Linked DNA regions of Daphnia pulex. The protein of the gene in region 2 purifies or fractionates together with the protein of the main gene of each other region. This does not show direct contact. Links are inferred from orthologs where the notes say so. Each region holds a gene or a part of one and is shown on either strand. Other genes may lie near its edges.

Region 1 (10,624 bases), on a different chromosome or scaffold from region 2:
TCGAAATAGATTGTTGCCGGATCCAAACCTGTGACATCATTTGATGAAATACGTATTGATGAAATTATTTCAATCCGAATTCTGAGAAACAAAAATGCCTGTAATGCGCCCAATGCCGTAAAGGCGATGGCCAGTATAAGAAGCTGCGTGAGCTCCCAAATTGTGGCCAATCATGTGAATATTTGCGTAATCCAAAATCGTTTTCGATGCGATAAACAAAATAAAGCTGTGTCGATAGACGAAATTCGATAAGTTTTGTGCGTAAAAAGAACAAAATAAACAAAGGTGAAGATAAAAAGTCAGACAAGATTAAAACTAGTAGGTACGTGACTTACAGACTCATCTCAGCGCCAACCACTTGCGCATTTGTCAATGCACGGAGATAAGGTAACCCTGCTCCCGGAGCCCAATCAACGCTTATTACATTGACATCTTCCTAAATAAAACAAACAAATCATCATCATTTGAGCTCGCCCGTACAAGCCATCGGTATAGCGACGGAATTTTTTTGGAAACGTTGCTACCCACATTGATTAGAATTTCCCTGACGGATGATACGATCCATGGATGGTTGGCGTCATTTGTCCAACCGTGAATAAGAAACACGGTCTTTTTAGTCGAATTGTAAGGCGAATTGTATAGTCCGAGTGCGTCATCTCTTACGAGTGTAATGGCATCTACTGGATTTGTTCTTATTATTTAATAACAAATCGCAAAGTGTAAATTTAGCTTTTTCTGTGAGATTGAAGTAAGAAGTGTGATTGCACTAACCTTGTGTTAAGCAAAAATCGAGTGTTGATCACTGACGGATCTTCGGGTAAAGCGGAACTATATCCAATCATTTTAATTGAAACGTTAACAAATATTAAAATAATTTGTTGTGAGTACATGAAACATACATAGGCCGAACGGAAGATGTCCACTGTAAAATTCAAACAAATTATAATTCAGAGAATAATAATTAAATAGACGAATTTTTCTTACAGGTTCCGCAGTAGTGAAGCATCCCAAATCTCCGTAACAGACGGTTTCACTGGCTTTGGAATCTCCTTTAGTGATTGCCACGCCTATTTTATTGAATAAAAATTAGAAATGAACGAATTTAAAAAAAAAATCAATTATATCACCTGCTGAGACGGCAGCAATCACCAAACTCAAGACAAAATAGTTTAACACACCCATGACGGAACAACGTATGTCGTGAAGTAAAATTTTAAAAAGTCCAACTCCTATCTCTTATATTTTTTGTGGGGATACCTTGATATTTAATCTTAACAAAAAATTGATACGCTAATAGTTATCAATATCTGCAGACAACGCGCGTCCTTTGTGATCCCTTTGGTAATAGGAAAACCCACGTCTATTGAAACCAACAACAAAACAGTTGTTATGATATGCGACCAAGAATTTTGTTTTAAGGTTGGAGCGGAAATAATTCTCCTAAGCCACGATCTCACGAGAAAATCATGTTTTTATTAGAATTCCTTCACCAGTCGTTTTCAAGGTAATTTGGATTTAAATGGAATTATTGGTTCCCTATAAATAGAAGCCGAACTTTATTAGCTTCATCAGTCGAAAAATTCACCTTTGAACGGTAAGTTATTAACAAAATTTTTTGTTTTGTTATTAGTCTGGTTGACGACACAATGGCGTAACTATCTGATAGTCACTGTTTGTTTTTCTAAATCAGGAAATGAAACGCTTGCTGACTAATCAGTTGCTATTCTTCTTCCTGGCTGCTGTTGCCGGCCAAGATGGCTCAACTCCCGAAGAGGTTTGTCCCTGTCAAGCCGAGGATTCGTGCCAAAACGATCGTCACATTTTCGGTCGTGACGAACTAGACATACAAAAATTCGGACTTATCCCGCCCTGTCGCAATTCTGGCGAAATTCCATGTTGTCCACGTGATCCGCCGCCGCCCAAAGAAACTAAATTGACGCAAAAAGATCTTGAAGGCTTCTCGCCGGCCGAGCTCGCCCAATTAGGTATCATGCCCGAAGGTACCATTGGATCCTCTTCGCTACCATTAGCTGAACAGCCGGAGCAGTCCAAGGTAATCCAAGACATTCAGCAACCGATCGATATAACGCAACCAGGCGCAGCATCGATAGCTCCGCACGGCGCAACGGGTTTCGCCAGCAGCAACGCTCCAAAAGGACATCCTCCTCATCAACAGAAATTACCATATCCTGTTCAGCAGCCGAATCCGCCTCCATCTATGATGCAGCATCGACCTCCGCCTCCTATGATGCAGTATCGACCTCCGCCACCACCCCCACCCGTCTATCAAAAACCCGTTTACCCCACCTATTACACTCCTCCACCTCAAATGTATCGTCGTCCCGTCTACAATTACCCCCCGCCCCCGATGCGGCCGATGTACAGACCTGCTTATCAAAGGCATTAGTCCCGAATTACTACCTGCATGAAAATATTAAATCTCGGTCGACTTTATACCAATGAGTTGTGAATACAATTTATCAGATCGTTGACCGTATTTCAAATTTCAATTTCCTGGTATTTTCTATATTTGTATTTCGCAATTTGAAGCGTCAATGTTGTTGATTGGCAACGGTGTGGTGCAGAGCAAAAAGAAAAATCCATTACGTTACTGTTACTGACATTGACTGCTTTAGTATTATCCTCTGGTGCTACTGTCAAGGAATCTATTTCTAAATTGACTTACCAATATGGGTTCATATCTCCGGGACTATGGTGAAGATCCGTTCTTTGCGTGAGTTTCTTTCCATTCCTTGGCTAACCAAACAGTAGAAACGAACAACCTGAGGCTCAATTATCCGCTCATTCTTACCGTTATTTGACATTTCCCTACGCCCAAAACATGCAACTTTCTTCATTATTACCCCAAATTTCCCATACTTTCGGATTTCCTTCCCATGGTCTATCATTTCCTGGTTGTAGAAACTCAGTTTCTTGCCAACTGTGCTTCGAGCAGCCCACCAAATCTTACAGCTTTCATCTGAATTTATTCTCTTGTACACTGTTTGTTTGCTTTGTTTACATTTAAAATTACAACAACTAATCTATTGAATTTACAGAGGTACTAATCACTTGATGCGACAAATGGATTCAATGATGAACTCAATGATGGACCCTTTTGCAAGTATGATGTCTATGCATCACCAAATGATGGGCATTCAACCTCCTCCTCAACAACGTCACCCTGCTGGCGCAATGGTTCCTTTTGGAGGAATGCCTGGATTCCCTATGGGCATGGGCATGAGTATGGATCCATTTGGAATGCCATCAGTAGGACAAATGTTTCAGAGCTTTGTAAGTTATCACAAACATTTATTTCACCAAAACTGACTTACCAACAAAATTGTATTGTGTAGGGGCAGCCTGGATTTGGAGCCAGCCCCATGTACAGCAGCAGTTCTGTGATGACAATGACAACTGGCCCAGATGGGCAACCACAGGTAACTTAAAAAATAAAATTGTATTCATATTTGTCTTCAGACAAGCACTGATTGTTTAAACTTGTTTGACGTCTGTTATTAGGTCTATCAAGCTTCAACTACCACTCGCACAGCTCCAGGAGGTGTAAGGGAAGTTCAGCGTAGTGTAAGCGATTCACGCAGTGGAGTTCGTAAAATGGCTGTTGGGCGACATTTAGGAGAGCGAGGCCATGTTGTCGAAAAAGAGCAAAATTGCTACACAGGGGACTCCGAACAAAGAGAAGATTTCATCAACATTGAAGAAGGTAAGTTTGTGATGTTAGAACAGAATCTCTTTCATTTCTTAATTTTCTAAATACCGTTTAATAGAGGAAGCTCACCAATTTGACGAGGAGTGGCAAAGGAGAGCTCGTTCTCACCATCACCAAGGCATGTACGGCCAATCTCGCATTGAAATGTCACGTCCTCATCATCATAATCATCATAATAATCATCATCAATCTAATTCTTCCAACTACATGGGAGCACCTTTAGCTATTACTGCTGGTCCTAGCCATGAAATTGATCCGCCCAGGTCTCGTCACTCAACCAATTCACGCGGGTATCCAATCTAAAACATACCTGAATAAAACCATTCATATTTACTTACGCGTTTTATGTTGTGTTGATTTAAAAGTGTTGGCCCCGATCGGAATGCAAGGAAGAGAGACGGCCATCGTACTGGAAAGAGCCGCCACGAGACCTCAATGTAAATCTCCTATAGGAAATCGTTTTCAGAGGAAAATCAAATCACAACTCAATAAAGCTCCAAAATCGCCAAGTCTGACATGCACGTATTTTCCTGCAACATGTCCCACCCCTCCTCCCAATGAAGTGTTAAGCGTATTCTTTCCTTTTGTCTGGCTTCTCTATTTTACCTTTAACACCAGTTTTGTTATTTTAGAATCTCACTACCATCGTACGGTGAAATGAAGAAATCTCCACGTAACCCTTTTAGTCACATAAAAATAGACGAACACAAAATTCGTGGTCGGTGTTGGAAATACAAGAACACACAACTGAATTTCCATTGACTTTTTAATTTATCAATCATGTGTTTCCATCACCAATAGACAGGAAATCGGATGGAAAGTCTCGGTGAAAACCCACAAACAAACGTTCATCAAAATGAATTTAATATAAGTTGTCCACGTTGGAAGTACGTGGTTTCTTAATTTTTTCTAAATTCTTCATAATGATGTCGTGTAGCGTTGAGTAATGATTCCGGATCTCACACATCACCAATTTTAAACTAACGTATTCCTTTTCGTCAAGTTCTTCGACAGTTACTCTGAAATCTTCAACGTGGGGGTATTTTGTCACCTATAAATCAAAAGTATAATTAACTTTTTTAGCAACGAAAACAAACTAAACATCGTACCTTTGTTACGATTTTGCCTCTTGTGATAAAATATCGGGAAATCTGATCAAAAAAGGCTGCGGCTTCAGATTCGACTGTTCTTATTTCAGCTAACATATCTTCTTGAATTGAGACTCCAAAGTTGTTTCCGTCTTCAATTTTCGGAATCAAAAAAGAAATCCACATTTTCAACTAAAAACAATAACAACAGATTAGATATCAACTCTCCAATGATGTTAAAAACAGTAGAAAATAATTAATCTTTACCAGGTTTGCATCTTCAACCAAGTGCCATATGTAGGGCTTGACAATTTTGATCATTTGTCTTATGTGAGAATTACAAGGAACAATTCCTGTGGGTAGCACCAGAACAGGTGTTCCACTGGTAACTTCATCTAATTTCCTCTTTTTGGTTTCAGTTTCACAGCTGTCATGACTGAAATGGAAAAAAAAGTTATGGGATTTTTCAACTAATGAATGTGAGTAAGTAACAATTACTTATTGGAAATAATTGGTGAGGGAACTGGAACTTTAAGATCTTCATGAACTTCTTCGAGATTTTTTGTGCTAAAAAGTGGCGTGGCAAGAAGATCATTCAGCTCCACAATCTTTCTGGGGAATCCATTGTTGATAAGGTCCTCTGCCTGCCGATAAACAAATACTAAAGGAGCACAAACCTTGTGTACACTTTTAACATAAAAATTTCATGCAAAGCAAACCCATTTATGAACGATAAGACCAATATTAGTATGCCCAAACTATCTGTTAAACACAAAGTTGGTGCCAACCTGTTTCTTTACTGTCTCCTTGTACTGCAGCACCTGGAAAGTGAAAGTAGAAAACTTCTATGATCATCACTATTGAACAAAATCATTTTTTCAAGCGTTTTTTTAGAAAACAATTGTCGACGTTTACAACCTCCAACTTCAGTCGCAAGTACCATCAGTAGACAAAATGAATTTAAAAACTACATATTTGTAAAGAAAATCAAAAGCCGAGTTTCTATCATGAAAAATTGAAAACAAGCATTGCGAGGCCACGCTATACAATTATTTTTCTTACTTTTGAAGCGTTGTCAACCATTTTCTTCACATAAATTTAACCGGTTAACGATTAACTTTTGTGCTCAGCGGCCATGTGTTGCCAACGTTGCCTCATCTATCGAGACTTTTTTTTCGTATTCATATTTCCAGATATTTTTTATTTCATTCTCTCTTCTTCGTTTTTGTTTATCATTTATTCATTTGTAATTTCTTGGTTGCTATTGTCATATATTTTATAATTCTGTATTGGATTCATCGTCGTAGAATTGTAATCATCAATTAATCCGATTAATCAAGTTTAGGACCGGACCTGCAAAAAATGCTTTCGAAATCGAAATCTAAAAAAATGTCTTTAATTTTTCGGAATGGTACTGAATTGGGATTCTGGGAATTCCTATTACCTTAATGAGAATAACAATGAAATTATTAGTAACCGTAACCGTTTTCGTTCACTCGGTAACACAGCGGTAAATTATTTGAAATAAACTTGGACATAATTTTCAGCCGTTCCGTCCAGTCGTGGTGGATGGCAAGAAATCTGTTGGCTTTTGCTATATCAAGCAGCGGTCGATCTCCTTTCTCTACAGATTGTAAAATTCTTTTAAGCGCGCAGTTCAAATCTACTAATTCAAAGCGCCATCTATTGAGGGCAATGGGCAACTTTCATCCGTAGGTCGCAAAAAAAACCTATGGACAAAAAAAGCGAAACAAAATGTGAAATCGTCGGGAATATTAAAACATCAAAATTTCATTACCATGTTTAAATCGTTACAGACATATCTCGTTACCGCCACATAGTAATTCGTAACGCTAGCAGTCTAGAAGCCCTACAGGCGGCAGCTCTCTGAATTCTCGATTTCTAAAGACTGGAGTCCAATGGAAAAAAAAATCCTTATTGTGTGCAGTTAAACAAGAAAAAAACTTAATGTTTTCTAGGTCACCACGAGTGGGTAAACAAATCGAAAACGAGTTTATCTACTGCTATAGCGCAATGTATCCTCGTAATAGACTGAAGTTGGCGAGTTGCGTAACAAATTAGTCGAAGCCCAGTTGGGTACAGTATCCATTCCGTTTACAAGATCAACATAAACGAGTCTTATTTTTGTTCTACCGGAGTATATTCGTGAACAGCTGATTTTAAAAAAAGGGAAAAACGATTAAGAAACTGCAACAATAACAAATGCTTTTTTCTTCTGCAAAGTCAAGAATTTTTAGCGCGTGGAGTATATGCTAGAGACGTCATTTGTGGATGTCCCCATTTTTTTATTGACTCTTGGCTAAAATTATACTGCAAGTTATCCCAAGAATTATACATTACTTTTAATTTTAGTAGGATACTGTTAATGCTGGAATTTTTTAGTTTTGGCATGTGTTTTCTGGTTTAATTAAGAAAAAATGTGTAAGGAAATTGAACTGCGCACTCCAAGAAAAGTTTTCTAATAACAATCCTCAAAGACTTCCAAATATAGTTGTTTAGTTCTTGTCCAACTATCTCGTCCTCAAGTTCGAGTATAGGTTTCAACAATGGCCTCGCTTCTTATCTTAAGTGGCGAAGCACATTAAGAGCCTTTAACAATACTCTTTTGCATTATTATTGGTTCCAATATTGTACAACGTAAACAATGGAAAAACATAAAGAAATCGTGAGCAATTATCGATGGCGAGCTATTGTATCATGCAAGGTCATTCAAAAAATAATAATCTCAAGTTGAGGGTAAAAACGCATATTTCTCCAAGTTTAAAAATAGAATATAGCCCAATGAGATGGGCTTGCGCTCCTGCGTTTTCCAGCATTAAAAACATCCATATAGAGCCCAACTATTCTGATTTTGACGGCGAACAGAAGTCTCTGTAGAAACTTTTTCGTTGGATGCAATGGACGGGATACGGTAGAAGCGGTTAAAACTACGGGGGCTGCTTCTAATTTTAGAAAGAATACCCTGGTTCCGAACAAGACGGCAGCAGCAACAATCATTAGAGCAGCGTCTCGACGCGCAAAGGGCTCACGTTGAAAGAGCTTTCTCACCCCGTCGACGACGTTCCGCCCTCGCCACTATATTCGTGTTTTCTCTCTTTGGATCGTGCTGTCGTGTTGTTTTCGACGTCGTGTCCGTTTGAGGTGTGGTAAATTCCATCTGAAACTTAAAATCAATCCAGTTTACAGGATTGTGTGTGACGAATCTTTTGTTCAACAGCATTTATTCAAGTGAGTTTTTACTTCTTCTCTACTTCAAATCAACGTTTGAATGAAATTGCTGCTTTTTTTTGAAAATTCCACCCGTCACCGAGTCAAACTGTGCGCATCTCGATTTACGATTTTCCAACTCTTCACAATCCTGAAATGATAAGATTGTGTAGACTTTTCTGACCCCCACAAACATAAAAAGGGATGCGACGATGTGAAGGAAAATATAAGAATTTGTTTAGTTAACCCCGCAGTAACAGCTTAGTCAGAACACACGACGGACTCGGATAAATTTAGCTTGCAGTCGGGACAATATACACACTTTGGCATTGGTTGTTACATGGTGCGCGTGAGTATTCGGTCGACAAGACGAGAGCCAGCCGAACGCCGGTTTTAAAGCTTTCTGCAGTTCTAGAAGTTGAACGTGTCACAACTCGTTTCACAGTCATTCTTACTAGCCTACTTGAAGTACTTGAAGCTGCCATAAAACTGCCATCTGGGATCAGTTGTCATAAAGTAAAACGCTGGTTACGTAAGAAAATCTTGTTACGAACATTTTTCCATATTTGTAGAAGTGTCAGTTTTTTCTCTTCGGAAAACAGCCTACCTAATATTCATTGAAGTGTTACAAGAAATTCTTAACTTTATGAACGATTTTTCAAGACGACAGCGACGGTTAAAAGGGAACTTGTATTGTTTCTAATTTCTAATCTTGTTTATTTGTTACTTCAACTAATTAGTCTAGATATAATGAGGTTAGCTAAATTTAGAAATTGTCTTTTTTTATTCGTTTCTTGCGAGTGTCAAATTGCAACGGGAAGTTTATTAGGGATTTGATTTAATTTGAAATTGTAAGTCGAAAAATTCCAAATAAGGAATTTTTCCGTTTGGCAACCACGCTTAATTGTTTACACTATTTTGTTTTGAAAACGACTGAGCTTCTGTGGAGTTTCTAGTCTGTTTCCACTCTAAACATCCACTGGAGTGTTGTGTGTTACATTTTCAGTTTATTATTGGATTTCATCATGTCATATTTAATACAGGTCAAGCATCCAATCAACTTCTTTATAAGAAGAGAAACATGGATTCTGAAGCTGAGACTGTTGTACTGGAAAACATCATCAACTTACAAGTAAAGAAAGATTGATGTCTTAATTAAAAGGAAATTACTAAATTATGCATGATTTTAGGTAGATGAAAACCAAACAGAAGAAACTCCTGTAGTCGAAAAAAAGAAGAAGAAATCTACTACCAAAAAATCAAAGAAAACAAAACAAGATGTTGCTTCTAAGACAACGGTACAGTTACTTTCTATTTACCATGATATATTACTGCTGTAGGTATAAGCCAATATTAAACAACTTTTTTCTTTTTTTTAGAAATTTGAAGGGAAAAAAATCCATGTCCGTTCAGTTGATGCAGCACAGGTCCAGCAGAAGTTCAATAAGGTAAATACAGAAATAGAAAGACTACTATATTAGTGACCAGTTCACACACACAAAAAAACATATTATGTTACTTTTACAGGTAGCATCTGATGCTGATGCCGCTACTACGCTTTGCAAGCTTTGCAACAAGCAAGTTTTTCAGATGGAAAGAGTGAAAGCTGAAAAGTTGATTTGGCACAAACATTGCTTCAAGTGCACTGAATGCCAAAAGAATCTAACGTGAGTAGGCATATTATGTGAGTTCAAATCAGTTCATAGAAGTGTTACAACTATTTAACTTTAATAAACAGGGTAGACACATACAATAGTCATGAAGGACTCATTTACTGCAAGCCTCACTTTAAACAGTTATTTCAACCAAAAGCAGTTCTGGAATCAGATGAGCCATGTAAACGCGTATTTAATATCGTAATTTTAAAGAGTTTTAAATTGATTTTGCATTTTTAAAATTTCAGATTATCTAAAGCCCGAATTGATTATCAGAGAAAGTCAGCCCATAGAGCTACCGGCTGACGTTGTGCGAGGTATGATAAGCTTAATTTAAATTACATTATGGAACAGTAAAACACATTAATTATTACTTATATAGCAAGTGAGACGTCTAATAGTTACGGCATGGACGAGTTAACAAACCTAGATCTCAAATCTAGATTTACAATCTTTGAGCGAGCCTCATCAAACTCGCAAGCTGACGTGGAAATTAGAGAAGATCACAAATCAGTGAAACGTTCTGAGAGTATTCTGTCACGACTAGCTCGGTAGGCTAATTTATGCTGTTTTAGCAAATATCATTTACACATCATCTTCCCTATAGATTTGATCGTGATAATGCCACCCTCAAGGGCGAACTGTCCAAATCCTGTGGTAATTTAGACATCCAAGATTCGTCTTCTGAAGGTGAAGAAGGGTACATGTACGACGATGTTGCCGGCAACCGCTTGTCTTCTTATTTGGGACCGGATAATTCCGTGAACTTTGGTTCTATATCCGACATCAAATCGAAATGGGAGGATGACAAGAACGGGTCTCATTTCAACAGGCGAGAAGAATTGGCTAAACAGCGCAAGGAAGAGCTCAAGATCCTACGAGCTCGACAATGCCAAGTATTCGCTTTAAAATTATCGATTGGA
Region 2 (10,709 bases):
ATATATTCAAAACAGAGAGGATATTCCATACAGTAATGGATATTTGGTGTCGGAACTTTTGGGAGGGCTAAGTGTTAGTAAAATACGTTAAACTTTTTGGTTCAATACTTTTTAAGCAGAGCAACAGTGCACCAAGCCACGAATTCAATTTTCTAGACATTTCCATTCCACAACGGCGCCGACGCCATCCACTTTATATTTGGTTCCTCATCCCCCAAGTAATAGAACGGGCAAACGTCTCCAGAGGCTTTTTCATGTTCCCTTGTTCTCCGATCTCGCAAAGTTTCCCATCAAACACCAAACGATAAAACGGATGAACCCCATAACAATGCCGAATGTTACTACGATCTTTCCAGGTTAATACCTTTGTTCCCCAAGGTAATCCACTTTTTGTACGTTTTCATGCTTATTATCTCTCTTTAGTACACAGCCAAGGATACGACTAGCTCCAAAAGTCATCTCGTCATCATCAACAGCATGTCGTTTATTTGATCTAGCGTGCATTTGGAATGTTTTTCAGTGTAAATGATTATCATAACGTGGGTTGGACGTATTTATGTATGGCAGTTTACTTTAATGGATGACTAAAAGATAAAAAACAATTTCTCAATAAACTGCTGTAGTATTTTTTCGTTTGATCAACAATTTTGTTTGAGTTTTCAATTATTACGGGATATTACTGATAACGAATAACGCATTTCAGACATTTCGAAAAAATCGGCCATTTTCAAGGTCAAAATTGGCAATGTCGTCTGCTCCAAATTTCAGTCCACTTTAAACTCAGCTCAAGGGTGGAAGTGTCGTTAATGGTTAATGAGTTTGAACATTAAGTACGATCAAGATAATCAAATTGACAAAAGTAAAAGTAGTCAAAAGTAAAAGTCATTTTTGTGCAAATATCAGAGAAAAGAATGTCGATAAATGTAAAGAAACTGAACGACGGTGAAACGCAAATTGTGTGGAAGACTGTGGTCTCGGATTCAGAGGCCACAAATGACCGGGGAGTCCGTTCCTCTTGGTTCAAACTTGAACGTGTTCACTGTGATGCTGCGAATGCAGTTCAGCTTCGTTTAGAACAGTTTGAAGAAGACGATTCTAGTAACAATGCACAGAAAGCTTTACGTTTTCATTTCATTTTGAAACTGATTACTCCTGGAGGCAATGAAATCGACGAAGAAACGAGTCAACCTTGCAGTGCTTTACCTGAAGCTGTAGGGGTCAGCATTGACGAAGGAAGCATTCAAATGGCGACAAACAAGATGAACGAAAAGTGGTGCACATGGCAATCGGTAAATATTTCTTGTTTTTTGTCTGTCTTTGTTTGTGTCGTGTTTTAGACTTTATATGGCTGATGACGTGTATCGGTTTTTAAGTTGATGTACAGTTCCACGGCGATTTACGACCAGGAGATTACTTGTCGTATTTGGATCAAGTTTAACGAGATGACAACAAAGGCCCCGAGTAAAAGTGAAACGAATGCATTGAAGCAGTTTACAAACTTGTACGTTCGTCAAACCAACTGTGATGTGGAGTTTCAGTTTGATAACGGCCAATGCGTGGGCGGACACGCCATCATTCTGACGGCCAGAAGCCTAGTGCTCGCTGCTATGATACAACAAGCGAATCGTCAGGGCGGTCAGGGCAAGATCAGGATCCACCACATCCGCTTCGAGATTTTCAAAGACGTTCTCCACTTTATCTACTCTGGCAAAGTTTCGTCCTCCATCAACCAAATCAAAGCCCAGTCATTGTTTGAAGCTGCCGACGAATTCGATGTTGGAGATCTCAAACAACAATGCGTTAGTTATCTGATTTCACACATCCGAATGAACAACGTTTATCAGTTAATCTCCTGGGCCAAGTTACACTCGGTCGACGAGCTCCTAGAAGCGGCCGTTCATTTCCATTGTGAAAAATTGATCAAGCTCTTCCCGAGTCTAAGTGTGTCGGCCTGTAGCCGAATCACCATGGCGATGTCTCTCGTCTACTCTCACATGTAAACCCACAGACGAATGTCCACTTTTGTTACAAAGTCGTTTTATTCCGTTTTTGAATTTCTAACCTAAATTTATGTCTATTGCTCATTTCCTTTTTGGTCATTTTCGGAGTTTATACCAGTGAAATAAACACGACGAATAGTGTCACGACGTAAATATATCTATCGATTGTTTGGTTCTTTGTTTAAATGTAGGATAGTGTGGTAGCTTTTTATTCTGATTGGCGTTTCCGTATAGCCACCAACATTCACGCCGCCATAGCGTGAATATCGGGGATTGGGGTGGGGGCAGCTGTTTCTTATCGTGCGTCTAGCCGAGCTCACGCATGTAGGCGCCGTATCGATTTGTTTCAAGACACACACGCGAAGGGAAATAAGTCAGATGTTTGTGTGCAGAGTCGTCGTATGGCGTGCCTTGCCACTGTTATTTCTCGTTGGTCCGACTGGCACAAACACACGACCTTGGCCGTCGTCGTCGTCGCGTTCAATCCAAGACGGAATTATTCATCATTTGGAGCACCAGAATAATCATAAGTAGGACGTGAGCATCAGCAACAGAAAACCAACAGTATATTGCGAGAAAGTTCCAGCGAGCGGTGCATAATTCGTTCTTATGACAGTCAGTTGAATGAGAAACGCACTGACGCTCGTCGTCGCTCGGCAAAATCGAATCAAACCCGTGAAAGCCGAAGAAGAAGTGAATTGACGTCATGTTGACTGGAAACGGCTGCAGCTTCTCTTATTCCCGTCCTCACTAGTAGGCCCCCAAACAACGTTGAAAGAGTGCCAGACAAAAGGGGAGGGAGTAATGCAAGGACATTGTAAAATAATTGAGAATACAAAATTGAATTACAAATCAATCGTATCTTACAGTTATTCGCAAAACAAAAAATTGAAAGAAGAATCGATCGGTTGGCCGTCAGCTATCGAGGTGTGTGCGATATTTTGACGAGGACACCTACCACTAGGACGATGACGAACACGAGAACCTGAAGTTGTATATAACTTTTTAGTTAGTCGACGTATAATATAGTACGGGAAAAAGTTTGGCGTACCAGGAAGGTGATGATTTTGGCGAAGAAATTGAGGCTTCCCTCTTCTCTAGGGAGTTGGTTGCGTTGCTGATGGCGATTGTTTTGTTTGTCCGATTCTGGGTCATTCTCCACCAGCTGAGGGAAGGCCAGCCGTTGGGTGAGTGATAACTGGACGGCGGCAGCGGTTGCCGAATCGTAATAAGGATCGTCAAACATGTCGAGAACGGCGTGGTGGTTCGTTTCGTCTCCAGCAAGGCTTAGCAGCAGGGCGTCGTTGATTCCGCCTTCGTTCAGGCACAGCCGCAGGTACGGGCTGGTTAACATACAGGCACACCGAGATAATGATCAATTACTATTCCTTGTACATTTTACATTGTTACGCATACTCATATAGTTAGCTCAATACCGTCTTTTGTTATGTACACAGTTAACTAAACTTTAATCATGATTACTAACATGGTTCATTCACTTTCCAGGAAATTTGTCTCGACATCCCCAAAAGTCTATAAGGATCGTGTAGCGAATGAGTCGTAATAAGGTAACACTGCCTAGCTACTTGTCTAATTGATTATACTGTACGTAAATAACCGAATGCAGTGCAAAGATGAAAGCCAAGAAAAGTCTATAATCTCTTGCAACCCAATTAAACCCAACTCTGGTAGTAGAATATATATAGGTCACGATTCTTTTGTAGCAAGGATTGCGTGACCGTGGATAGCACGTAGATTTGCCCGCCTGTCTGCACGGATTTCTCGTAGACCGCCGTCTGTCGACAGACGTTTCAGGGCGTGGTGTTCACGCCTGTCACCGGTGCGTTTTCTTATAATTGACACGAAAACGATTTCTGGAGCAATTCGATAAAAAACAACGGCGGATTTACGTCCTAGCACTCAAGAAATAACCTTCTTGCTTATTCTCCTTCCTGGAAAGTTCTTTGTAGAAACAATCCCACGCGATCCATGGCAACTCTGCCGGCCTATATAGCCTTTGAAGTCTAAAATCGCAAAGTTCAAAGGGTTCAATGACATCATACTTTGATAGGCTGAAGTGCGATGCCATCAGCGACGACGTGGATCCTAGTTGCGAATTCGCCGAGGATTGACCGTGCTGCTCCTTGTTGTGATCGGTTTGATGCTGATCGGAAGTGGATGACAGCCACAGGTGATTAGGTACTCTGGTGGGAACTGAGAGGAAAGTCGATCGTGAAGATGAACTTCTGGACAAGGAATTGTGATGAGATGAACGTGTCGGCTTGATCGATGTCCGCGAGTCCATGTTGTTGTCTGTGCACGAGTCACTGCAAATGGAGCCGAAGCTCGGCTTGCGTGAAGGAGAATAACATCGGGAATCGCTTTCCTGATCGGCCAGAAAGTGCGACGATTCTTGAGAGTCGTAACTGCAACTGCGTTCACTGACGATGGACGACTGGCCTTCGTGAAAACTCCGGTCGACGTGAGCATCCCGTTGAACGCAGATCTTGGGTGACGAAGTTGTCGTTTGTTGTTTACGGCCGGAATTTGTCGTAATCGGAGTGCTGCTAGTATCGGACCAGCTGACCGCCAAACTGTTTGTCTCTTCCATCTCCGTCTGCTGCTCACATTCACTCGGCAACGAACGAATCTTCAGGAAATTGTCCGATCGTGGTGACTGCCAGCCGTCTAGACTGTAATCCACTGGTAAAAAGTTCCGGTGATGCCTATATAGGATGGGGAGGGGAAAAATCACAAAACGATCCTTATTCTGTTAGCGGCAAGCCACATCCGTAGGGGTATACTAACATATTTAGGTCAAATGGAAAATTGATGGCTGCCTTTTTTTCTTTTCCCTACTTTTTTACATTTTCCGTTTGTTGGAACGCGGAGGAGAGAGAAAGAGCCTTTTTTATTTTTAGAAAATGCCTCCGCGTTCTAGCTCAAGAGGAAACAAATAAACAGCCCAGCACAACAAAGCTATGGGCTTTTCTCTCTCCTGAGAGAAGACAAGAAATTGAACAAGATGCAACTTTCAGTTTATAATGATGGACTCCTCAGGGCAGCAGCACTGTGCATTTGAACAATAGACACAAGTTTCGCACAAATCCGTTGTGGAGCACAGTCAAACGTTTCCCCCCATATTCTAATCAACAATTCATCCGTGCTGCTTTCCTAATTGCCTGTTATTTCTCTAGTTTGATGTCTAACTTGTATACCCCGGCCATGAGCGCTGCCGTCGGGGACTAGCCGTCTCACCGCCCACATCAAACATTCATAAGGAAATATTGATTTTGTCTAGCATCTACTACAGTACATGCATTTTTACTTGACACAGATGTAGGGCTAGCGCACTGGCATTTGTGACAAGTTAGTTTCAAAAGTGTGTAGCACGTCAAAAGTAAAAAAAAAGTGGCGGAATTTTAAGAATAATAATAATAATGCTGACCTTTTCTGTGGCAAAAATCTGGGCGAAGTTGGAATAGTTTTAGCTGGTGACGGATCGTTTCTCTGCTCTCCAGTTCCGTGAACGCTATTTTCAACGATGGGGGGTTCATCTTCGTTCAACTTTGGTTGCTGCTGCTGTTGGTTGTGCTTCTCTAGACTGCTGCGCAGGCTGCCTAGTTTCATCCGACTCGGCACGGATAAGTGATTCGCCGACAGGTCCAATACGAAGGCAGATTGTTCTTGCAACTTGTTGTAACCCCCGTCTATCACGGTGGGACTCGCCAGCTGAGAGTCAATGCCGGAATCCGAGCCGAGTTGGCTATCGCTCCGGTGCTCAATCTGATGCTCCAGACGGGAGCAAACTTCTTCCGGCTTGGCCAGCAGAGACGAATCGTTCGAGTCGTTTGAATCGCTACTGGACCATATGTGCACTATCGGCGTATCTGACGGATGATCCTCATTAGCACTGAGAACCGTCATGTGCCAATCGGGCATTCCCACTTGACTACTATCACTGTTGAGCTGAGCGGCGCTGCTCCCGGACATGAGTTCGACTGCTTCCTTGCCTGACGCCAGATCTTTAGCCGGAACCACATCCGGCAAACGAGTGTCTGCCATGAATCAGATTCTTCGTTCACATCAACTTTTACTCGACGTTTCCAAGTTGGCGGCGGCAATCCATTGTCCGCTGCCCTGCTGCTGGCCGGAAAACGGGCGAACTATGATACTGCAAGGAAAACACAACAAAAACTCATCATCAGGGTCGATGCGTTTTGATTACGGCCATTACGGCGAGTTTCAGATGGCATGATCTACTCGCATAATATAACCATGCATCTTCATTGATTTTACAACGAAACCACCAAGAACAGCCGAGCTATTTGGTTGGCTGCTCCCAGCCAAAGTGAATTTTAGTATTTGCAATTTCGCCCGGCCAGTTTCTACAATTTGAAATAAGCGGCTTTTCAATTTTTACGTGGGCGCGCACTTTTCAATTGCCGAAAACAAAAAACACGAAAGAGACTAATGTCAAAACTCAAAAAAGGGTCACGCCATTCAATGGGTAGCAGCCGCCCACTGCTATAAATATAACGTGGGAAAATACTCTTTCTTATTCTTCGTCTTATTCGGTTCGTGCTTCAAAGCCTCGTGATAGATGGAGTCGTTCCTCCCCGACAGATGTTGGAACATCTTCTCACGGATTTTCCCGCTATCCACGTCTGAAGGGTAGAACTTGCGCAGCCAAGCCAAGTTTAGATCTCGCTGGAGATACACACACACATACACACACAAATGTTGCCAAACAATTGTTCCCCCAACAAAAAAAGAAAATGACTTTTCCTTATTAGTTCTTTTTTTGACAGGTGGGCCAATCTTGATAGCGGCTGATTCAAATGGATGAATCCTGTACACGCCGCCCGCGTGTTATCCATTAAGTCGGATCGAAAATCGATGGATAGTGGTTTTCTTTTGTTTATCTCTCGTCCGTTTCTATGCCTACTGTTCTTTATGTTTTTACCTACTATCCAAAAGTTGAGGAATGATGTTGATTGGAGGTCCGGCACAATAGTTCAGACACACAGCTAGGCGGATATCAAAAAGTTGCTGATTGATTAACGGTTTTGGTCTGTGTGGATAGCGGCGTCGCGGGGCGTGCGACGCCAAGCGCTCTCGTCGGAATGACGTCCAATCCCGAACTGAACGCACGTACTAGACCAGCAAGTGCCTTTAACAAGAAAAGAGGGGTAAAGAATAGGGGGGCAGAACACATATACATCAAGATCTAGCCGCAGCAGCAGCGACGGCGCCCTGGCTGGCCAGTCCGCGTTATAGGCCGCCACCGGTTGCGTATACTGTGTCGTCCCTTTTGCAGGTTTTTTTTACTTTTTTGGCGTCATCGATCCAGGTAAGACGCCATCGCGGTTCCTTATTATTTTCTATTACAGACATTTATTTATAGTAGATTCTTTTTATCCTTGTAATCCCGGCGTAGTTACAGCCTGCGCACGCAGCCAAACGAATTGCTTTTCAATTATTCAATAGGTCGGACTGCATTGCAACCCGACAGCAAGTCTGTGCGGGGGCTCTGCTGCAAACATATCTCTATCTATTATTACAGCCCTGCTAGCTATTGTTTCTTCTCATTGCAACCGGAAACCGTAGTTATATTAACTCGCTCGGCTAAATAACAAAGGTCGGAACATTTACGGATATATACAGAGGCAAGAAGGACAGATGTGGATGTTGGCAGGATCGCGTTTGTTAACGACAACATAAAAAACCCGCGATCTGTCTGAGACAATCTTTTTTCACGGCTCATGCCCTATGCACTAATAGCCCAGAACAGCACGAGAAGCAGGCCATTAAACACGTAGCACAAACAACTCGAGTTTATTTTAAAATGCTCAGTGGGTGGCGCGTTGTTAATCTTGAGCAACCACGCCATTTCATTCACCACACATTCTGCTTTTCCTTCCTAAATCCGCGTAGAGTTATTTCAGGTCTAGGTTTTATTTTGCTCCTTTCATTCCGGGTGATCGATATAATCTGTATCACAAAGATCTACTAGTCCCTTTTACCCTTCTTGCGCTGTTCCAAGTTGAGTGCATTAAAAAGGGATCAGAAAACGGGGGGCTTTTTCGATGGCAGCTTTTGAAGCTGTATTGCAAGCGAATCCGAATGAAAACACCAAGTAGGACGTGTTTGGACGATTCTTTTTTTGAAAGGTTTGAATGCGGGGGGTTACCACTTATGACATCGACCCATTTTCTCTATCCTGTACGTGGTTGGTTGGTCTACTCGCATGTAAAATAATGATTTTTGAGAATTATTGTATTCATCGGATAGATATGAGAGGTGCGTCAGCTGAAGTAAATCATCGGAAAGCCACAGTAGAAAGCATAGCTCCCAGACACTGGACAATATTAGAAGTCATCAGTACATCCACTTCCTCCTCTAGATGACGCTTAGGATCTTGACGGCCAACGTTCTTTACTGCGAGTTGTTCGGGTGTCATCTTTTCTTCTTCCTCCAAAGCCTGTCCAACACACATCATTTTAACATCTGATTACGAACAAAGGCCGGTATGTTTCAGAATTTACCTTGTTATAAGTTTTGGCTAATTCGAGCATGCTGCGAACACTCTGCTCGTTGCTTTTGCAGTGTTGCTCGTATTCGGCTAGCGATAGTCCCTCGGTCCATGATTTCTTGTGCAAGTTCCACAACATTTTTTGTTCGAGTTCATTCTTTCGATAGTTGATGCTGATTGAATAGTAGTGGCGATTAAGTCCATGAATCAAGGCCTGGAGAAAAAACCATTAAAAAGTCTTGCAGAATTTAATGTTTTGTAAAATCTAACAAACACACCTGAATTGATGGTTTCTGTAAATGTCCAAGATTTGATGTTGTCTGGCGAGGTTCTTGTCCCAATACCATCATGTTTGGATTTATCAACCTGAATGCATCAATGACAACTTTGCCTGTAAATAAAAAACTATTTATTACAACTGCAAAAAAAAAAATGAATAAATCTGTAATACCTTTGACACTTTGAATAGGGTCAACAACAACAGCGACAGCACGTTCAGACAAGGCCTCAAAGCTCTGCTGTGTGTTGATATCTACACCAGATAACCAACAACCAAATCCAGGATGGGAATGGTACCAGCCAACAACCATTTCAGGGCGGCCAGTTTGCCTGAGCATGTCCAACATTTTAGCTTGAAAAACTGGATCCACAGCTTCAACACTGACACCCTACATAAAGTTTGTTAAGTTACTGTGAGCAAAATTGATAAATGATAATGGTTTCATACTGTTCCTGACTGAGGCATAGCAAATACATCAATCACTCTGACTGTGTAATCGTCAACAAATTCTCCAAGCATAAGTCCCATGACTTCCATTGGAACTCCAGCTCGTCCATGTTTAAGCATTTTCAACAGTGCCAAAGAAGAAATATAAACCTGTTACAACAAAAATGTGAAAACAATTATAATAGGTATAGTAAGTAATTTATTGTAAATGCAAACGAATCTGTCATACCTGTTCGGCTGTGTCGACAACCGGTGCATCAGTTGGCGGAGCAGATTGTCCGAGGCCAGACATCGGGCCACCGAGCCGTAATAGACGATCCATTATCTCTTTAAATTATTAGTTCAAACTTTTTTTCGAATGAAGAAAAAGGAAACTGCTTTGTAGTAGAACGGCCGGTAAAAACAATGAATCCTTCCGTCACAGAATAGTCAATTCACGCTCCGCGCAACGTTTTTCGACGGGTTTATGCTGGTTAGCAACATTGCCCAACAATGAATGAAAAATGTTTCATTATCAGTTTCTATCAAACCCAGTTTTTAATTATCAATATAGATCTTCCATTAAAGAGAATACATTATTGTAAGAAATTTTATTCTTCAGATGTATCTTTTAATTATTATAAAAATTTTATTTGGTCGATTGCGACGTTTGTAGAAATCCAAACGATCGTTTGTCTGACGTCGTTACGAATTCTCTTTGTAAATCAGTTGTTTGACTTGTGAATCACCGAGTCTACTCATCAAAACAAAATGGCTTTGACTCGATCTGTTGCAGCGCTCAAGCTTTCTCGTAATATACCCATTATGAGGTGAGTAGTTAATATTTTAATGAGCATTCTACCTTTGTGACGTGAATTAATTGTCATTTGTTTTGCCTTTTCTAGTCGTTTAGCTTATTACAGCCAAGATGGTGGAGCTGGTGCCATTCGAGAAGCTGGTGGAACTTTCGGAAAGAAGGAAGCCGCTGATGAGGAACGATACTTCCGTAAAATGGTAGAAATATCTTTTTTTACAATTTATGTATAGCTTGTATTGATTTTTTATATGGATGGTAGCAAACTGAACAGCTGAAAACACTTAAAACTCACCTTGATGAGGAGATAACATTTCATCAGCAACGCATGAAGGAACATCAGGATGCAATTGACATTCATCAAAAGAGAATCACAGAGTTGGAGCAGAAAAAGAAAGCCTAATTGTTTGATATGCCTGAGTGTGGTGCAAGGATATCAAAATTCTGGAAGGATGTGTAGCCTTAATGTATATCCTAAAATACAATTCTAGTTTATGGTTGAGCTATTTATTTCCCTGAAAGATGTTGATACTGTAGAAGGAAGTATACAGCCTATGCCCTAAAATATTACTCAACAGGTTAATTTACTTAGGGGACATAATGCCATACACAAAACAGACTTCAAATGAATTTCAACATATAAAAGAACCTTTG
Region 3 (11,361 bases), on a different chromosome or scaffold from region 2:
CGTCCCCCCCCCCCACACAACTCTACACATTGCCGAGCTTATTGTACTCGACTCTATATGCACGAAACTCGTTTCGACGATCTGCGGTAATCAAACAATTTTTACACAACACCCATCGTCCGACCTACTTCTCCCATTCCGACTATCGTTGTCTACCATCCCCATACACACACACACGAACCAGTTAAGATTTTAAATGAAAAACGTCATAACTCTTAATTCAATTAAGATATTTAAAAAAAACTTGGCTTTAATTCGATGCAGATGTGGCCTTGATTGTCCCAATCATCGACCAAATTCACTTACATTTCTACATCATTCCGAATGAATTTCGATAATTGAAAAAGAGTAGACGCTGCTGCTCTCAAGGACTCCCGACCACAATCATCATCTAATAACAAACAAAAAAGTTGAAACGAATTATCATCTCCCTATAAAATACAACCAGCAGTTGATCAAAACAACATAAATCGAAATGAAGGCCGTAAATGACATGAAAAATAATACCCGGAAGATTTCTCTCTATAGCTCTTTTTAGACAACAGTAGCAAAAGTTGTTTACCAATGCAATTGTGTGTGAATTCCCTGGAAGTTGCTGCATCGTGGTGGAAAGCGCTAAGCGGATAGAAAGTTTTCTTTCCCTTTTTTTTACGAATTTGTTATTATTGTTGTACTACTACTGTCATGTGTGTGTGGGTGTATGGGGTTTTTTAAAACACTTTCTACACTGGCGGAATCCGTCGAGGTCGCTGTCCTCTTGCCGCTTTTTAGCTGCTGCACATTCTCAAGCTATTTTCGACATTTCCGAATTTTCTATCGAAAAAAAATCATAACCTTGGCCGGAACTGAAGAAAACTGATCCCTTTCGGATGGAGCACATGAATTCAATAATGAATAACATACGGGAGTCATCCAAGACATCCCAAGGTTTTTCCATAGGAAATTCAATTAAAAGTTAGAGAAATCTTTCCCTCCATCAAACGATATCAATCGGCCATGAATCGATCGCCTTTGATGACTTTTGCCGATGCTGCTGGGAAGACCTTCTTTTCCATCACTTCCGTCATGACCTCCCAAAGTCAAGTGTGTCAACAAACCCTGCCGGTGTCTCTCTTCTTTAATCAAAGCCATTCCTCCTACATGTCAAAAGGGAAAACCAAATTGTGTGTGTTGAGTTTTCTTCAATCCTAGTTTTTTTTTGAAGAACATTTAGTTTCAAAATGAAATAATCAGCGCCACCTAGTGGTGAAAAATAGCTAAACAAAAAAAGAAATCTTTATTCAATCAATCATCTATCAATTTCCGTGTTAGGCAGACAAAAAAAAAAACAATCCAAATTGCAAAGAAAATTGTCTTTGTTTATGGTGGGTATGCCATCAAGCGAAAAGGGGAAAAAAAGTTTGTTGATGGCCATTGACGGGAAAATGTAGGGAAATCAAAATATTGATGACACTCGCACAACTTTCCAACATTTGGTTGATTTTTATCTTTTACAAGAAAAACAAAATTTAGGAAGAGGGAACCACTAAATCAAAAAGCTGATGGGCGGAAAACAAACGGATAAACAATGAGAGGGAAAAAAATGAAGAAAAGTTATTACTTTTTTTTATATCAGATGATGATGATTCGATCGAAGTCAATTAGGATCGAAATCGCCCACTCCACCTACATCGAATTTGAACAAATGAAAAACACATGGCGACTCAATAGAAGAAGAAGAAGGGAAAAAAAAACATGAAAAATGGCCGATTAATTAATTATATGGGGGTAGAGAATAGGGCAGGGTGGAGGCGATTCTTTGTTGTTTTTGTTTTATTATTATTATTATTATTATTTACTCTTTAAGTGTTTCCGTGAAAGTATCGCTCTGCGTTAGGGAAACGTTCGGCATCGAAATCGGCGTCCGTGTCCAGCCTGGCGTTGCCCAAACGGCGGATTTCCGGCAAAAGGGCGCTGCCCACTTCGACATTGGCAGTGGCCACATTCGTTACTTCACCAACGGCGGCCGACGAGACGTTGGCAGAACGCAGGGCGCGTTCCATCGTTTCTAACATTTCAGAAATTAAAAAAAAAAAGGGTTTTACAAACGTTGTATAAAATATGATGAATGAATTAATTACCCTGGAGGAGCAACTGAGGATTTGTGTTGGGTCGATTGCCTTCGGCCAACTTGCGTCGCTTATTGGGAATTCCGGCCAGGTAGGCGTCACTGAGCGGCACATTTGGCGGAGCTCGATTTTGACGTTGGATATCACGGGCAATCACCGGTACCCATTCCTGTCAGAAAATTGTATTTAAAAACAAAATTAATTAAAAATTTGGGTGGAATGAAAAACGATTTCTAAAAATTCTGACCCGTGGGACTTCGTTGTGCCACGACTGAGAGCCCATGACGACGTCAATGACCGGCTCTGGAGGTTTCACTTGGCTGGATTCCTTTTGACGAACATCTTGGCGGAGTTTCTCTAGTCGACTAAGTCTTGCGGGCTGTGCAGAAACTGGTGCGGATGCTGCTTCTTCCGTCTTCTCTTCTACCACATCCATCGGTTCTTCTTCAACTGGTGCCGTCGATCCAGTAGCCACTGGGGGAACAGACTCGGGAGCAACGACGGTCGCTGCGGCCGGTGAATTTGTGTCGGTCATCTCTTCCACTTCTGCATTGAAAAGGGCAGTCCAGGTCCTTCCGCGTTCCGTGTTCATCACCATGGGCTCAATAGTTGGCGTCAGTTGATCCAAATCGACGGAAGCCAAAAGTGAACGAAGACGTTCGATCGACGAATTTGTCGTCCACTCTTGGACTGCTGGATGAACTCCATCCGATACTCCACGCTACATTTTAATAACAAAACAATTAGCGCCTCAATTCATTATAATAATTCATTTAATATCCTACCAACTGAGATAGGAAAACGCGTTCAAGACTAGTGGAACCATCGGTGAAACAATTGAGGGCTAAAGCTGCAGCGAGTATTAAAGTCCGGCGGATTTTATCCATCATCAGTTGGCCGAAATTCGGATTTTCACCTTAAACAAAACAGAAAAGTCAATCAGCTATCAACGTCAAGTACAAGTTCAATAATACCTGGCATTCCAATTAACTGGATGACTTCGTGAAGACACTGCTGGATGAATTGGGCCATGGTAGCGACGAAATCCACATCGGGACGAATGCTGGCCTCGGCCTAAAACCAGACAATTTAGTCAATACTTGAAATGAAAAATGTAATAATAATAATCGTGTCCTACGGCAGCACTCTGGAGTAAGGGCATGGCTTGATTGACCAGTGTCATGATGCCCTGTCGGACGGAAGGGTCTGAAAAGTCACCACCGGAAGGTAAGACTCGTTGACGAGCGAAATTCCTCAAATGATCTCTCATCTGGTTCAAAGCCTCCGGCATTCCGTAAAATAGGGCCATCAAATCACGGAATGTCATGTGATCCGCCTTTTTAGTCAAAAAATAAAGGTCAGCTGTTAGTTTTTGAATGGATCGTTTCATCATCGTCAAGGTAAATTTCACCATAGTCATAAAGAGGTCAAAGAGGAACGACTCGCCGGCCGTGTAAGTGAAATCAGGAATGTTGCGTAAGAAATGGGCCACCGTGTTGGGCGACTGATGGCCACTCACCACACCCGCAACTTCTTGCATGACTCCCTGGAGCAAACTACTAAACAAGGCGTTGGTTAACACTGGATTAGGGCTGCTGGATCCATCTCCACCACTCGTTCCACCTGCTACTACCCCGCCTGATAGTACACCGCTATTGGCCGTCACCTGAATTTCCATTTAATGACCAATCATTATCAATGTTTTCCTCTCGCAATTTTCAATGCCGCAATTACCTGACGAAACATTTCGTTCATAAATTCGTCGACGGAGGCCGGAACGGCTGTCGGTTGATTTCCAGGGCCTGGTGGACGGGTTTGATTGAGACCGGGAAAAGCTTGTGCCGCCGACGTGGAAGTGACAACCACTGGGCGTGGTCTGGCTCGCTCAGTGTCGGGTCTGGATGAAGACGAGCGGGTAACATGTCGAGAATGACACGGTAAAAAGTCGTCAAATTCGCCCAAAGATGTTGGTGATTGCCCACGAGACGCTTGTTGATCTTCCTGTTGATTGTTGTTCGAGCGAACTTCCATAAAGAGCGACATTGGATGCATTTGACCACCTAAATTGACAGGGGTCCAGCCTCCTTGACTCGCCATGGCTAAAGGCAAACGTCCAAACGGGTGCGGTCCTCCCCTGACCAGCATTTCAGGGTGCAGCATTTGGACTGAGGCTCTTGGAGCTGGGGGATTCTGCGCCGATGCATTAGCTACACCCGTTCCGGTCGTTCCAGCAGCCCGCCAACCATGAAATGTCGGATTTGTAGTTGGAGGAACTGATGGATTGGCAGCAGTAGCTGCAGTGGGTGGGCGGGTAACGTGTCGGATGAACTCATGAGGAGATATTCTTGTGGGCAATCGCGGAGGAGCTTGCGCTGGTTGCGGTTGAGGAGCTGTAGCGGCCTCAGGAGCTGCTGGGTTAGCCTGTGTCTGAGGAGCTCGGTGGGTATGTGTAGTCTCGACGCTGATTGAAGCGTGAATGGGTATGGTCGATGAAAGAACTTGTTGGTAGACGTAGGGTCTAGCACGGACTTCACGAGGAGGGGGAGTTCCAAAGTCAACCATTAAATCGCTCATGGCGTGAAAAGCGTGGGCCAAAAAGTGCAATCCTTCGGCTACCTTTTGGATCAAAAATCAATTGAAAAACATGGAAAGGAAAATATAATATGATTTTACTGAACCTGGTTGTAGGTGTGTTGTGCTTGCCGGTATTCAGGTGATGTGCTGTCCAATACGGGATCATCTCTGAGGAGCTGACGGACGGTTGTCAAATGAGGGCGAAGATCCTGCTGGATCCGTTCCATATCTTCGATGACATCGGCAAAGACAGACACTCGAGGATTTCGAATTTGCTGTTGTCGAGGTTGTTGGTCACCAGGAGGAGCTGCAGCTGACGACGGAGCTGACGAAGGAGCCGACGAAGGAGTTGCAGATGGGGTGGTTGAAGGAGGAGTTGTTGAAGGGGGTGTTGTTGAAGTCGGAGCTGTAGGACTTACGCGTTCGCTCGCGCCACTGCCACTCTCTGGTGGATTATTTGGTTGAGGCCCTTGCACCCGAAAACCAAACGATCCTTGAACTGCTGGTGATCCATTAGGTCCTTGCAACACGGCAATATTGTTTGCCCTGATAAAAAGAAACGTAACTAACATTTTTAGTTTTTTAGTTTGGAGGTTTGTCATTACCCCAAGGATTGAACAGTTGAAAATGCAGCAGCTATAGCAGTGGCAGCCTGTGCTTGAACCATTTGTATGGATGAGTAGGGTCCCTCAGCAGTATTATCCATTGTAAAGAGTGAACCAGTGCTGGGAACTGAACTGATCCTTCCCAAACTCTGTGAGGCATCCTCCAGCATGTGTCTGGCTGTATTCAAACGCAACAGAGAACTACTTCCGGCTGGAGCTGGTACTGAACCTTCATTTGATCGTAAACATTGTTATTGAGATTTCTACTTTTAATAATGATGAGAAATTTACCAAATGAATGATTGGCACCATTTTGAAACCCTCTGTCTAGGTGGTAGTGAATGTTTCCTGGTCTAGATCCTTGAGTTCTTGGTGGTCCTGAAGGAGGATTACCAACTGTTGGAGGTGCTCTCTGGACCAAGTGAATGACTTTTCCACTCAGGTCTGTAAAACACAAAAACATTTACATGCCAATCATTTGTTTTGAGCTAGGAAAGAGTATTTTCAATTTACCATATTCACTGAGCTTTTTGTCATCTTGAAGAACTCTGCCACAGTAAATCAAACGCTGAGTCTCTGCTGGTGTTCCTACATCCCCAGCAATGTGTTCTTTAAGTTCCTTGACTGTGAGCTGCAAAACAGAAATCCAGTTAGTTTCCCCTATCTAAAACTCACGAGTCGTTTCTTTTAATGGTCTTACCTCCTCTGAAACTGTGAATTTATGATTACGCGAATCGAGGGTTTTGACGGTAACTTCAATATTTGCCATTTTTGTTTAGCTTTCACCACCTCGAGTTCCAACCTCGCTGTAGTTTGGTGACGATACAGACACACTAATAATAATTATTCGGTTTCAGTATTTTTTATTTTACCGATCTAACCGGACGGCTCTGAACCGACGTCAGTTGTGTAATGGGTGTCGAAATGTAAATCTCTAACGTGGAAAACTGGAAATCGGGCCTGTAATAATACACGATAACAAATAGAGGCGCAACTGTCTCCACATCGAATCGACACGACACGACACAGCCGACAATTCATAGGCTTACGAACCAAGTTGTGTTACAACGCCACCTATTTCTCTTGGTTTTAAACCGTAAAAGAGGAATTCACTTCAATTTCATGATAATTTGTACATTTTACGAACAAGATTTTATCTAATTTTACACGTTATATTTATCAATGACAAATTCAAGGAAAAAATTATTTTATGAAAATCAATTCCTGGAATGAGCACCATCTTTTGGTGGTTTTCGATAGTCGAGGCAAGACAGGTGTAGACGAAATCCAATGGCGAGTTAAATCTAAAAAAGTGAGCGAAGCAGTTCAAAAGTCAGAACACAACAACAATGAATGCACTTGATGTTAACGAAGCCAGGAAACGGTTGGTGGATGTTTTGGGAGATTCTTCTAAGAAGTAAATAAATCAGATTTGATATTTGTGGTGGTATATCTCTAATATCATGTTTTATTTAGTTATTTTGCCCACCTGAAATCGTGGTTTTGTATGAGGGTAAGAAATGTTTCTTTTATACTATCCATTCAGTCATAACTGACATTCTCTCTATTTAGACAAGCAAAGAAGAGTTTGATCGCCAAGCCAGATTGTACCTGAAAGTAGACCAAGTTCATCTTCACAATGAGTTTCTTTTGGCCATTGTTACAAAATGTCAAAGCTTGTGCCAGCCTTCAACCTATGTCTATCATGGTGTGAAGCAAAAGCCAATTGTTGTCACTGAAGTGAACAAAATCAGACCACATACCATTCCTCTACAGAAACGTAATTCTGTTGAAATCAAACCGATCACTGTGACAAGACAAGTTTACCCAAAGAACAAGCCTCTCACTGTCAACTTTGATGTAATATGTCTTAATTATTGGAATTTTCATTGGAGACCTTGATTAACATAATTCTTTTCTTATCTAGAATCGATTCCAACCAGTGAATCCAGTTTCTCTGTTACCATTTTCTGCTCCTTGCACTGTAGAGAAACCACAGCTTCGTTACTGCAGCCAGGATCTAATTTTACCTGACGCTGGACTCGTTCACGGTCGAATGCTAGTAGCAGCTTGGGATGCTGGTTTGGATCATGGTTGTGAAGACAAAGCCATCAAACTGATACTGGCAGCTACCAAGCAATTTCTTAAAGAACTGATAATTGCTATCATAACAAACCGGAAAGGGTACCGCCTTCGAGAGAACAAAGTCATCTATTCGGTTGGCCAACCTACAATTAATCCGTGGCTACACAATTCATGGTCCATCCAAGACAGTACCAGTAACAGGTAAATATTTATTGTACAGTCCTATTCTTTTTCAACAACAATGTTTCTAAGTGTTCTCATTTTAAATCAGTTATCTGACCGAAATTTCGCAAGCTGCGGAACCACCTCACGTTCCTGCCATACCCCAAACATCTCAGAAAGCAGAGCGGGATTCCGCATTCTACCTAGCGTGCACTACCGAACAAGTTACCGCACTTCAACCGATTTCCGTTCTTGACGTTTTTCAAACTTTACAAGTAAGTCGATATTTAATTTCAAAACTTCAAACTAATCCTCATGTTTCTTTATTGAATAAACAATAGGTTAAAAAGGGCGTCATTCCCTGGCACACAGTGCACGCCGTCAATATGGAACGCATTTCACAGCGCCTCTATCACCCCAATTAAACTCGAATCTACTTGCTTAAAGAAATTATAACGATTAAAAAAAAAGATGTTTGTATTGTCGACGAGGAGGCCATGAGAAGTCAAGAATGCCAGGAAACTTTTTTATACCAAGAAATTGCATTTTTTTTTCCTCAAAATTCTCCTATAAAGTACACACCTCAAAACTGCTTTTCATCGTCTTTTTTCCCATTATTTTTTGTTGTTGGTTCATTGCGACAAAGCTAAATGCGCGGTCTACGTGTCGGAACGCCAGAGCTTGATAGTCTTATCGTTCTCCAATGCAGCAGATGCGATGATATTATCGGTCGGATGGCATGCAGTACACAGCACGACATCTAGAATGAAACATGAAGGGATATAAGTTCGCGTGTGACGTCTAGACAAATTAAATGTGAAAGAAGGAGCAGGTCCCCCGGTAGGAAGCCTTACCGGTGTGTCCTTGAAGTTTCTGAACAATTTCCTTCGTTTGCAAGTTCCAAATATAAACCATGTTGTCTTCAGAGCCGGAAACGATCCACTGCAGAAAGAAAAACATGTTCAAGTAAAAGAATGAAACGTGGATTGTTAAAGCAGTACTTTTCCTCCAGTAACCGAAAAATTGGCAAAGATGCAATATTTCTCGTTTTTGTGGCCGGTGTAGGTTTTCAAGCATTTGCCCTGAAACGAGCCAAAGAAAAAAGAATGGTAAAATCTGCAAAAATCTTTAGAGTTGAATTCATGATGACACCTTGGAATAGTCCCACAACTTCAGTGTGTTGTCGAGAGTTGCAGCCAGGATGTATTTTCCGTTGGGTGAAAATTTGACAAACGAGACGGGAGGATTGTCATCATCGATCAGCGTTTTTAGGCACTGGCCGGAAGCCGTGTCCCAGATGCGGCTGTAAACAAGTGATCAACACCACCAATCGATAAAATTAAGAGGTCGAATTTATTTAGTAAAATGAACACGATTATACCAAAGGCCATCGTAGCTTGACGAAACGATAAGAGATCCGTCCCGGTTAAAATGAACCGCTGATACGGGATCTGAATGGGCAGGAAGGGTTTTCAAACATTTTCCGGTTTTGACGTCCCAGATGCGCACACTCTCGTCAAACTGCAAACAATTCAAAAAGGTCAATAGCCTATTTTAAAGAAGGCGAGTGGTTGAAAACTTACTGAGCCTGAGACAATCAAGTTGGATTGGGGATTGAAATTGCAACAGAAAACATAATTGCTGTGTCCTTTTAATGTCTTCAAACATTTCCCCTATAAGAACATACATGAATTAGAGATGAGCTAACATCACAAATAAATGGTTAAAGACTTACTGAGCTCAGTTCCCAGATCTTGAGGGTTTTATCATCACTGGCAGACACAAGCAGGCGGCTATCAGAAGACCAAGCTACATCTGAGATACCAAGTTTATGACCTGTGATTGATTTCTCAAATTTGCCATCATAGGCACCCCAAATCTTCACCAGTTTATCAGCAGCTATTCATGATAAAAAAATTATAACATTATTAGAAATATAATTCTCCTGAACATACACCATCAAAATATTTACATGAACTTGCAAGCCATTCTCCATTTGGGCTGAATTTCACAGCTGACACAGCTTTTGTGTGGCCAGCTAGGGTAAACTTGAGGGCATAGTTTGGCTTCTAAATACAATATTGAATTAAGATTACTTTTTATCCTAAAATGCTGTAAGAATTGAAAATTCCGGGTTGGAAGGGTTACTCACCAACCCCGATGCTGGCTTTGCTTGAAGAGGAGAAGTAGTTGAATTATTACTGTGGTTCTTAAAATCCTGATCACCTTTCATTTTATCATCAGCCATTTTGATTAAATAAGAAGTTGCCAACAGTATACTTGAATCTCAAGCACAATAGCGAATTTACAATGTTTTCCTGGACAGTGATGAGTGGACTCAACAGTCAGCTGCTACACTGGCACAGGATTGTTAATCAGTGTTTGGCAACTATCCAAACTGTATTAATATTTTTTGTTTTTTTTGCAAATTTTTCTTATGATTCGTAGACGGCCTCAACACCTTTCTTTTATTTAGTGTAAGGTACGCACGAGATTTGCCCAGCTGTGTGCCTTAATAATATTTTGCATTACAGGCACTGAACTGCGGTAATAAAGAACATGGTCGTTCTCTTCTTCTTCACCAACTGTCACAAGCAACACTGAAACACTCAACACAAATAGTGTAATAAGTGAATCCAATTAAAGTCGCCGTCAAAACGTGAGAATCCAACAAAACGCAACACTTAACATTCGTGACAACGCTTTCGGCAGCACGGGTTTACTACTCGTGTTGAGCCAAACGTCCACCAGATGGCGTCGACTTGATCAGCGACATCTATGATTAACTAACCAAGTTTAGACTGGATTCGCGCCAAGAGTTTGAAATTTAAAATCGAGTTTCCTCGTTCAGGTTTTATCTCATGCGCAAGCTTAGTGGAAATGGGGTGAACATGTTCATTTCAACCATAAGTAGTTCACTACTAATCTAGACGTATTTGTCGTTTATAACACAAGAGTAGTCATGTGATTTAATAGTAAACGGTAAAATGCTTTTAATCTAATGATCTAATTATTTGTTTTCAAAATATCAGCACTATGTCGTAGAGATTTAGATTCACAGATAAACGAGTAACGATGATCGGTACAACTCAAGTCATTCCATTCATGAATAAGGAGGGTTTCATTAAACGTTAAAACCCAAATTAGACATTCTTCTTGTGTACTTCCATGTACACGTGATGGTTCTCCCTCTTGCCAATTCATTTCTCTCGTGAGAATATCGCCTGTACCAGCCCACATCCAAGTTGATCGATTGCCGTAAAGACGATTACCGGATGTCAAGTATAATTGTTTTTGAACTAAATTTTGAAAATTAGATTTCATTCAATTATACTTTGTAAAGAACATTTCCGTGATCACCATTTTTTTTCTCTGCTTTGAGTTGTTTGGCTAAATTGTTTTCTTCTTCTTTCGTCTCAAGCGACAGCAATTCCATGCCGTACTGCCGGCAATAATGGAGAGCACTCCACCAGTTTCTCTGTGAAATAATTAGTGATGTAACCCAACAAGTGATTGAATTTCATTTAAATGAGACTGCTCTATATGTGTTTTATAATACATCTTCAGAGACGATGCAGTAGCATTCGCCGTTTACTTTCAAACAACGAAATTTTTTGGCCGTGAAATGTTTTGGGCAAGTTCCTTGTTACGCGAATTAAAAGATCAATTAAAGAAAGGTGAGTGTGAATAACTAAAAAGAAGTTAACCATTCATACCATGAATCAGGATATCGTTAATGTGATCCTCCTTTGAAATCTAATATTAACACAAAAAGAAAATTAATTTAAAAAACGACTAATTACAGATTAAATGATTTACCGTTTCAA

The links.
Region 1: the proteins of 26S proteasome non-ATPase regulatory subunit 14 (region 2) and proteasome activator complex subunit 3-like purify together in Homo sapiens (affinity purification with mass spectrometry, with the first as the bait; 3 studies listed by BioGRID). This does not show direct contact. The link is inferred for Daphnia pulex from reciprocal best matches to the Homo sapiens genes PSMD14 and PSME3.
Region 3: the proteins of 26S proteasome non-ATPase regulatory subunit 14 (region 2) and large proline-rich protein BAG6-like purify together in Homo sapiens (affinity purification with mass spectrometry; 3 studies listed by BioGRID, with this or other methods). This does not show direct contact. The link is inferred for Daphnia pulex from reciprocal best matches to the Homo sapiens genes PSMD14 and BAG6.

Annotation. Positions count from the first base shown.
Region 1 is NC_060017.1:6,928,318-6,938,941, forward strand, and holds proteasome activator complex subunit 3-like, read right to left. Parts: upstream 6,010-10,624; 5' UTR 5,902-6,009; coding exon 5,881-5,901; intron 5,640-5,880; coding exon 5,607-5,639; intron 5,466-5,606; coding exon 5,317-5,465; intron 5,255-5,316; coding exon 5,086-5,254; intron 5,011-5,085; coding exon 4,840-5,010; intron 4,782-4,839; coding exon 4,593-4,781; 3' UTR 4,479-4,592; downstream 1-4,478. Other genes in the region: pancreatic triacylglycerol lipase-like, read right to left, coding at 1-28, 99-226, 336-436, 529-691, 772-828, 900-922, 985-1,067, 1,128-1,182; leucine-rich repeat extensin-like protein 3, read left to right, coding at 1,694-2,407; myeloid leukemia factor-like, read left to right, coding at 2,691-2,734, 3,060-3,294, 3,357-3,440, 3,523-3,724, 3,789-4,020, 4,096-4,171; protein-methionine sulfoxide oxidase mical3a-like, read left to right, coding at 9,128-9,178, 9,237-9,344, 9,426-9,494, 9,574-9,713, 9,785-9,882, 9,950-10,018, 10,084-10,252, 10,309-10,597. UniProt on the Homo sapiens protein: Subunit of the 11S REG-gamma (also called PA28-gamma) proteasome regulator, a doughnut-shaped homoheptamer which associates with the proteasome. 11S REG-gamma activates the trypsin-like catalytic subunit of the proteasome but inhibits the chymotrypsin-like and postglutamyl-preferring (PGPH) subunits.
Region 2 is NC_060022.1:5,168,734-5,179,442, reverse strand, and holds 26S proteasome non-ATPase regulatory subunit 14, read right to left. Parts: upstream 9,756-10,709; 5' UTR 9,585-9,755; coding exon 9,492-9,584; intron 9,413-9,491; coding exon 9,263-9,412; intron 9,204-9,262; coding exon 8,987-9,203; intron 8,927-8,986; coding exon 8,814-8,926; intron 8,750-8,813; coding exon 8,549-8,749; intron 8,485-8,548; coding exon 8,323-8,484; 3' UTR 8,262-8,322; downstream 1-8,261. Other genes in the region: ARMADILLO BTB ARABIDOPSIS PROTEIN 1-like, read left to right, coding at 912-1,289, 1,374-2,000; uncharacterized protein LOC124196063, read right to left, coding at 2,920-2,985, 3,052-3,343, 4,064-4,726, 5,449-6,065; ATPase inhibitor mai-2, mitochondrial-like, read left to right, coding at 10,013-10,071, 10,147-10,255, 10,318-10,458.
Region 3 is NC_060023.1:11,635,281-11,646,641, forward strand, and holds large proline-rich protein BAG6-like, read right to left. Parts: upstream 6,323-11,361; 5' UTR 6,057-6,322; coding exon 5,988-6,056; intron 5,919-5,987; coding exon 5,801-5,918; intron 5,732-5,800; coding exon 5,579-5,731; intron 5,517-5,578; coding exon 5,288-5,516; intron 5,229-5,287; coding exon 4,787-5,228; intron 4,725-4,786; coding exon 3,843-4,724; intron 3,775-3,842; coding exon 3,520-3,774; intron 3,445-3,519; coding exon 3,247-3,444; intron 3,183-3,246; coding exon 3,083-3,182; intron 3,025-3,082; coding exon 2,894-3,024; intron 2,830-2,893; coding exon 2,356-2,829; intron 2,278-2,355; coding exon 2,121-2,277; intron 2,048-2,120; coding exon 1,842-2,047; 3' UTR 1,839-1,841; exon of another isoform or gene 1,666-1,838; 3' UTR 1,258-1,665; downstream 1-1,257. Other genes in the region: transcriptional adapter 1-like, read left to right, coding at 6,637-6,704, 6,764-6,800, 6,860-7,147, 7,215-7,573, 7,644-7,809, 7,876-7,959; WD repeat-containing protein 5, read right to left, coding at 8,194-8,294, 8,389-8,476, 8,536-8,616, 8,687-8,837, 8,916-9,055, 9,118-9,207, 9,270-9,433, 9,507-9,603 and 1 more. UniProt on the Homo sapiens protein: ATP-independent molecular chaperone preventing the aggregation of misfolded and hydrophobic patches-containing proteins.